2 linked regions of the Canis lupus familiaris genome follow. The protein of the gene in region 2 purifies or fractionates together with the protein of the main gene of each other region. This does not show direct contact. Links are inferred from orthologs where the notes say so. Each region holds a gene or a part of one and is shown on either strand. Other genes may lie near its edges.

What was found. The genes of interacting proteins can lie anywhere in the genome.
Region 1: the proteins of RAB3GAP2 (region 2) and VAPB purify together in Homo sapiens (affinity purification with mass spectrometry; 4 studies listed by BioGRID and IntAct, counting the BioPlex papers as one, with this or other methods). This does not show direct contact. The link is inferred for Canis lupus familiaris from reciprocal best matches to the Homo sapiens genes RAB3GAP2 and VAPB.

What each region holds. Positions count from the first base shown.
Region 1 is NC_049245.1:43,929,787-43,933,531, reverse strand, and holds the start of VAPB (vesicle-associated membrane protein-associated protein B/C), read right to left. Parts: upstream 2,431-3,745; 5' UTR 2,374-2,430; coding exon 2,268-2,373; intron 776-2,267; exon of another isoform or gene 761-775; coding exon of another isoform or gene 685-760; intron 1-684. UniProt on the Homo sapiens protein: Endoplasmic reticulum (ER)-anchored protein that mediates the formation of contact sites between the ER and endosomes via interaction with FFAT motif-containing proteins such as STARD3 or WDR44.
Region 2 is NC_049259.1:15,626,019-15,629,663, forward strand, and holds part of RAB3GAP2 (rab3 GTPase-activating protein non-catalytic subunit), read right to left. Parts: intron 3,200-3,645; coding exon 3,094-3,199; intron 1,624-3,093; coding exon 1,463-1,623; intron 341-1,462; coding exon 112-340; intron 1-111. UniProt on the Homo sapiens protein: Regulatory subunit of the Rab3 GTPase-activating (Rab3GAP) complex composed of RAB3GAP1 and RAB3GAP2, which has GTPase-activating protein (GAP) activity towards various Rab3 subfamily members (RAB3A, RAB3B, RAB3C and RAB3D), RAB5A and RAB43, and guanine nucleotide exchange factor (GEF) activity towards RAB18.

The DNA.
Region 1 (3,745 bases), on a different chromosome or scaffold from region 2:
CCAGGACAAATGTCACAGTGTCATGCTTCTTTCAGGAGGCCAACAGTTCTTCTTTTGATACTTAACACAGTGCTGCCTGGCACTGTCAAGAAGTCTGAACAAAGTCACATAAGTCTGCATTCTCTTTTCCTCAAAAACATCCTTAACCTCAACAGAATCACACAAAATGCCCAAAATGAAAAAGAATCCAACATATATAATCCCTTATCATCTTAGGCTGCATTTAAAAGATGCTTCTTTTTCTCCTTTAAAAGAAAATTAACTTTTTTCCTTTGGATAAGGTTGTATTATTTTAGGCATTTTAATTATTTCCTTCTTATTAAGTCAGCCTACAGGTTTGGTTCATCTAAGTGAACCACCTAAAGTTAGTCACCACTCTGCATAACTTGGAACAGATCAGTTAAATGTGGCAGTTCTCACCCTGAAATGAATGAACTCTACGCAGCAAGCCAGAGTACTGAGTCTCTAATTTGTTTTAGTGCTCAGTTTAAAACAAATAAACCAATCTCATAAAGTGGTTTACACACGCCTGCAGATGCCTCTTCTGAAGTTGCGAGCCAACAGCCTTCAACAATCTGATACCATGACTTCTCTTGGACCACTTCCCTAGCAAAAATATCCAGTGACTTTGACCATTATTACTTTGGGCAACCCAGGGCCAAAGGTCACTGTTCTCTGCCTTACCTTTCAGGTAAAGAAGTTGAAATGATGAAATCAGTTGTCTAAATACAACCAGCCATCTCTGTATAATATTGTGCATTTATAAAGCTGAACAGCCACAGTATCACCACTAAGCAACAACAGAACTTTCTCTAAGAAGCAAGGTAGGGCAGCCCAGGTGGCTCAGTGGTTTAGCACCGCCTTCGGTCCAGGGCCGTGATCCTGGTGATCCTGGAGTCCTGGGATCGAGTCCCACGTCCCACGTCGAGCTCCCTGCATGGAGCCTGCTTCTCCCTCTGCCTGTGTCTCTGCCTCTCTGTTCCCCCAATAATAAATAAAATCTTTAAAAGAAAAAAAGAAGCAAGTAGATGTGAGTTCCATCCCCATGGACTGACAAATGACCTAACTTTGAGGGGTGAACTTGCCAGCCAAAGATCAAACATCTTTACGTAAAAAAACCAAAACTTTTTCTCAAAAATCAGAACCTCTTTCAAAAACCTAACAGATGAGTGTATGTACTGGGAGACAGGTAGGGGGATGGGAATCAATCAAGGAAGAACTAGCTAAGGAGAAGCGACACAATTTGAACTTGGATACTGGTTGTGTCCAGGCACAGGAGACCTTGGACGTTACTCCTGTCTAACTAGTCTCATCCCCTACCTTGCCTTGCTACCCCAACAAATGTTCTTTGCTGCTGCCAAAGGGGTCCAGTCATCTCAGGCTTTTTGCCTCTACACATGGGATTTCCTCTGCCTGACGCGCTCCCGCCCCCCCCCCCCCCCCCCATTCTTTCAGTCTCTTCCATTTGACCTTTAAACTCAGCTCAAATGACACCTTTTCCAGGATCTGACCTCCTTACTGCTCTTGGAGTACTCTGATTACCTTCCATCATTGCACCTGTCCTGGATGGGTCTGTCATCTGCCTCCTTCCCTAGACTTAAGGCCTGGGGTGGGGGGATTGAGGGCGAAAGTGATTCTTCTTCCCTGGTACCTGACATGTGCAGCAGCCACTCAGTAAATGTGAACTGAACGAATGAATGTGCCAATACTCAGGAGTAGCAGAATCCTGCTTCTAGAGTAGAGAACTTCAGACGATTCGAGCGGAAACTATTGCGCTCCCTGTTCCCGAGTCTGGCTGCTCTAGAAGAAGGCCATGAGAACGTCACCCAGGACAAAGTACTGCCACCAGAATCACAACCAATGTTAGGTTTGTGGGGTTTATATTTTCGTTTTAACTGGAAAATCTTTTGGTTCATTATACCATTTGGAGTCATTTCAGATTGTTATTCTGGGAGGCAAAGTGACAGCCACAGCTCTAGAGTATTTCCCAGGGGTCAGACGGCAGAACAGTTAAGAGCGTGAGCTCTGAAGTCTGAGTTCAAACGTGCCATGTGCCAACCGGGTAACTCTGGGTAAGCTCCCCTGTCCTACCTCCTGCCAGTGCATATAGATGAGGGTGCCTCTGGCCAGCATCCGTTCCACAGATGCCTACCGAGCACCTGCTGCCGGCCAAGCGCTGGCGGCCCCTGGTGACCTGGCCACCCGACCTGAAGCATAGGCTCATCAGGTCACCTGCTGTTATTTTGTATGTCCTTCACGGAACTTACCACAATCTGAAGTACTCTTCTTTTGCTGATTTGTCTCCCCTCCCGCCCCCACCACGAGGAGGTAAGCTCGAAGCTGGGGAGGGGAACGGGAGGGTCGCTTGTTCATTCCTTGCCTCTCTGATGCCAACCAGACACCTAGCAGACGGTGACTCAACACGTTGTAAAAGGAAAGACTAGGCAGCGCGGGTGGCTCAGTGGCTTAGCGCTGCCTTCAGACCCGGGATCGGGTCCCGCGTCGGGCTCCCCGCATGGAGCCTGCTTCTCCCTCGGCCTGTGTCTCTCATGAGTCAATAAACAAAATCTTAATTAAAAAAAAAAAAAAAAAAAAAAAAGGAGACTGGGCAAGTCTGACGTGGTGCCCACGGCCCGTGACGCCTGTACTTCGTCGTCGGGGGAAAAAGCAGGGCAGATAAACCCCAAGAAGTGCGAAGCGGCACTTCCCAGAGGGCCCAGCTGCTGGGGGGCCGGGGAGCTCCGCGCCCTGCGGGGACCCCGCCGCCGCCCCCGCCCCCCGCGCAGACGGGGCCGTGGGCGCCGGGACGCCAGCTGCAGGCCCCGGGCCGCGTCCCACCACCTGCGCGGGGCGCTTCGTCCCCCTGCCGGTGTGTGCCCGGCGCCCGGCAGGGAGCGGCGCGTCCTGCCCTCATGGAGCTTCCCGTCCAGCCGGGAGCGCAGCACACAAGTGCGTAAAACCTCCCCCGAGGTGGCGGCGGCGCGGCGGGCGCCAAGCGGAGGTGAGGCAGGGCAGACGGCGGGTGCCCGCCGCGGGGGGCCCGGAGGCGGCGGCCCCGGGGGCGGGAGGGCGGCGCGCGCTCGGCAGGGACGGGGACCGCGCCCCGCGCCTCCGGGGCCGGGCGGCTCGGGGGGAGGCGGGCGGGCGGGGCGGGGGCCGGGGCCGCCGGGGGGGCGCGGGGCGCGGGGCGCGGGGCGGGCGCGCCGTCGGGCGGGGCGGGGCGGGGACCGCGGGCCGGGCGGGCACTCACGTCACCACCGCGCCGCCGGTGCCTGCGAGCGCGGGCGGGGGCGCGGGGCGGCCGGGCCGGGCCCGCGGCCGAACATGGCGGGCGTCCCGCTTACCTCGGAATTTGAGCTCGTGCTGCGGCTCGAGGCTCAGGACCTGCTCCACCTTCGCCATGTTCCTCAGCGGCGGGGCAGCTCTGCCGGGGGGACCCCCTGAGAGGTCACCTGGGGCGGGAGGCGTTAATGCTGCGCCCCCTTTAAATTCGGAAAGGGGGGGCCGGCCGGGACGCGGGCGGGGGTCGTCTGCGGGGCGCGCGCGGGGGGGGGCGGCCTACGCGGTGCAGGCGCAGGGGCGGAGGGCGAGGGCGAGGCCGCGGTGCCCGGCGAACGCACGGCACGCACGCACGCACGCAGCGACGCACGCACGCACGCACGCAGGCGGGCCGGCCGGCTGGCCCTGCGCGCGCTCGGGCGGCGGGAAGCTGCGCGCGCGGAGCCCCTCCCGGCGCTGTGCGCAG
Region 2 (3,645 bases):
TATTTCTCTTTCCTTATTCTTGCATCATTTCTATAAAAACTACCAGAAATGCCCACACCATAACATACAGATACATAGGCACAATGCTCAAATAAATAAACATCAGCTTACCCTTTCCTCCTTCTAATAACTTTTTGACAGAAAGCCTTGGGAGTGGCTCAGCCTGCAGCGACGACACTTTGCAGGTTGATGTGTTTGCTTTGCTGTGAAGTAGGGTCTGAAGTATGAGACAATCCTCCAGCTGTTTCAGCAGAAGCTTCCAATACTCAGTGTCAAGAGAAAGGGCCTCCCAGGAATCAGTGAGGGCCTCAGAATCAGCACCCAAAACTGTCTGGGAAAACTAACACAAAATGTACTGGTGATACTCTGGCAAAGATTCCGGATCAGCATTCACTTAAATGAGCTTTTAACTTGAAAGCTGACGGACAGTAAGGATACATCACAGCAGCACACAGATGCAGATTCCCGAATATTACTACGTAGCTGGATGGAACATGACTGACTTGGGGGCAACAGTGACAGAGTCTGGACATTTACAGAAAGACCTGCAGCAACGCCTGATTCACCCAGTGTGTACTTCGACAAGTGTGCAGAGCCATCCTTGACAAGGGCCACGTTTTTTTCTGTCAGTACCGGGATAGTGCTGGTAGTGTACTTTTGAGAACGCACCCACCGATATACAAAATGTGCCTCAAATTTCTTTTCTCTCCATTATCATAAACATCTTATGCCAGTAATATTAAATTTAGCATACATACTACTGAGATTCACAATGTTAAGTGAATCTCTACAGGCCTATTTCAGTGACTCATCTGATTAAATGCAACATCCCTCTAGAAAAAAATTATTTGATCTACCATGAGATACAAGAGATGTCTGTTTTGTTTGTTTGTTTTTTTAATAAATTTGAGTCTTCAAGAGATGAGGGAAAACCACAAAGCAAAAGGTCAAAAGGAAACTTTTATTTGAATCCTTCAACGCTACTTGCCCAAAACAACTTTTGTTTATAAAAGGGGAGGGCTATAAATACAACTATACAGAACTTCAGAGTACCTCAGAAATAATGCAGTCTAACCTGCCTCCTTCAGATGAGGAACCCTGACCTCCTTTAGATGAGGAACCTGAAGCAGGAAGCTCATGTTTAAGGGACTTACCACAAATCACCTGCCATTGGCAGAGTCACATCTCTGCCCTCCAACTACAGTACTTTTCCCCTCGAGATGAAAAGTACGAGGTAATGGAAAAGTTCAAATATGCATGTCATCTGAATAAACAAGTTAAGGGCTGCACTCCTCACTCCGCAAAAGACAAATGAGAACCTGCTGGACACATATTTCAAACTCGAGATGTTCCATAACACCAAAGACACTGCAGCCCCAGGCAAGGCAAAGCAGCCCCTCAGCAGGCTGGGCAGGTACAAATCCAGCTTATCCAAGGACAAGTACGCCCCTTTCTCACTTACTTTTTTCTCAGTCATACTGTTTGAGATCTGTGCGGCAACGGAATGCCCAACGTGTGCAGACAACAGGGCAGCGCCATTGTTCTCAGACTGAATACAAGCTGTGCGCATCTGCTGCCACCAAGGGGACACAGACTGGGAATCCCAGGTCTCGTCGATGGCCACTAAAGGCAAAAAGAGAAAGTTAAAGAAACTCAACTTGTCAATTCTTTCTGTTCAATCTTTAACATTAAACATACACTGAAACTAAATATCTCAGTGATATACTTGTATATTTCTGAATTAGAAAAGAAATTCACAACTTTTTAAAAGATTTTATTTATTTGACAGAGAGAGAGAGAGAGAGAGCATAAGCACAAGAGGCAGAGGGAGAGGGAGAAGCAGGCTCCCTGCTGAGCATGGAGCCTGACATGGGGCTTGATCCTACGACTCCAGGATCATGACCTGAGCAGAAGGCAGACAGACGCTTAACCGAGTCACCCAAGCACCTTCCACAACTTCTTTTATCAGAATATTTATATTCCATTTATTTAGGTTGTGTTGTCTTGCTTCTGAATCAACTTTAAATCTCTGGAATATTTTCATCATTGCTGAAAACTACTATTGAATGTTTTAATAAAATGTTAAATAATGTTCTAATAAAACAGACTATATATATTATATATAATATAAAAGATTATTCTAATGAGGTCAAAAAGAATCTTAAAAATTACCTCTACCAAAGATCGTATGATTTACCTCAATGAATTAAAAATGCATTGTTCAGGCAGCCCGGGTGGCTCAGCGGTTTAGCACCGCCTTCACCCCAGGGCCTGATCCTGGAGACCCAGGATCAAGTCCCGCATTGGGCTCCCTGCATGGAGCCTGCTTCTCTCTCTGCCTGTGTCTCTGACTCTTTCTCTCTGTGTCTCTCTCATGAATAAATAAATAAAATCTTACTAAAAAAATAAATAAAGGGCAGCCCCCGTGGCTCAGCGGTTTAGCGCCACCTTCAGTCCAGGATGTGATTGATCCTGGAGACCCGGAATCGAGTCCCATGTCAGGCTCCTTGCATGGAGCCTGCTTCTCCCTCTGCCTCTCTCTCTCTCTCTCTCTCTGCATCTCTCATGAATAAATACATCTTTAAAAAAAATAAAAAATAATAATGCATTGTTCATATCACATTTTTTTAAAGATTTTATTTATTCATGAGAGACAGAAAAAGAGAGAGAGAAAGGCAGAGACACAGGCAGAGGGAGAAGCAGGCTCCATACAGGGAGCCCAACATGGGACTTGATCCCGGGTCTCCAGGATCACACCCTGGGCTGAAGGCGGCGCTAAATCACTAAGCCACCCAGGCTGCCTGTATCACATTATTTTTGATGATGAAATATGAATTTAATTTTTATAAAGCATACTTTGAATGCATTGAGAGCTTTCTACTTATTAATAGAAATATTAATAGAAATATTTTTAAATATTTTTAAAAAGATCCCTAGAAAAATGTTCTGGACACTGTAGTGTACACTCCTTTTACTAACAGAAAGTATCCTCCCCTCCCATTTATGTGGTTTTTCATATAATAATCTACATCTCTAAGAGCAGCAGCCTGCATCTCAGGGCCCACGGAACTGCAACATCCACCAGCATGTTACCTTTCATCTTGCTTAGGAGGGACAGCATTGTATGAAGACAGCACACAGATTGTGGTTTATCCAAAATATCCTTTTCCTTAGAAAGCCAAACACTCAGGAGCAGAGACTGAAATTAAATTTAAGTCATTCTCAGTAATAAGAAAAACAAAATGTTGTAATTTTCAAGAGAACACATGTGTTTATGAGTGATTTCGTCCTTCAGGGTGAAAAATAAGGGGCTGCTTATTACGTCACATAACATGAGGGGTAGAACAAGGTACTCTGTCTACTTAAGAGATTCTTTATCATCTGTCAGATATGTAAATTCCACCATTTCCATTTCTTCTTTGGGATAAGTACTGCCTTCTAGGTTAAGCTTTGATTAGGGAGCATATTGCCAGAAAGATTACTACCAAGTTAGCCTAAATTAGCTGTAGATTGGCAAGAAGCCACTCGGCTGATTGGAGGAAAGGAAGGATCTGGAGCTGTGGACCTTATTCGACATTGGCCACAAGGTGCTGTGGACTTGGCAATGGTGAACAGATATGTAAACTATCAGATTCTAGTTTTTAA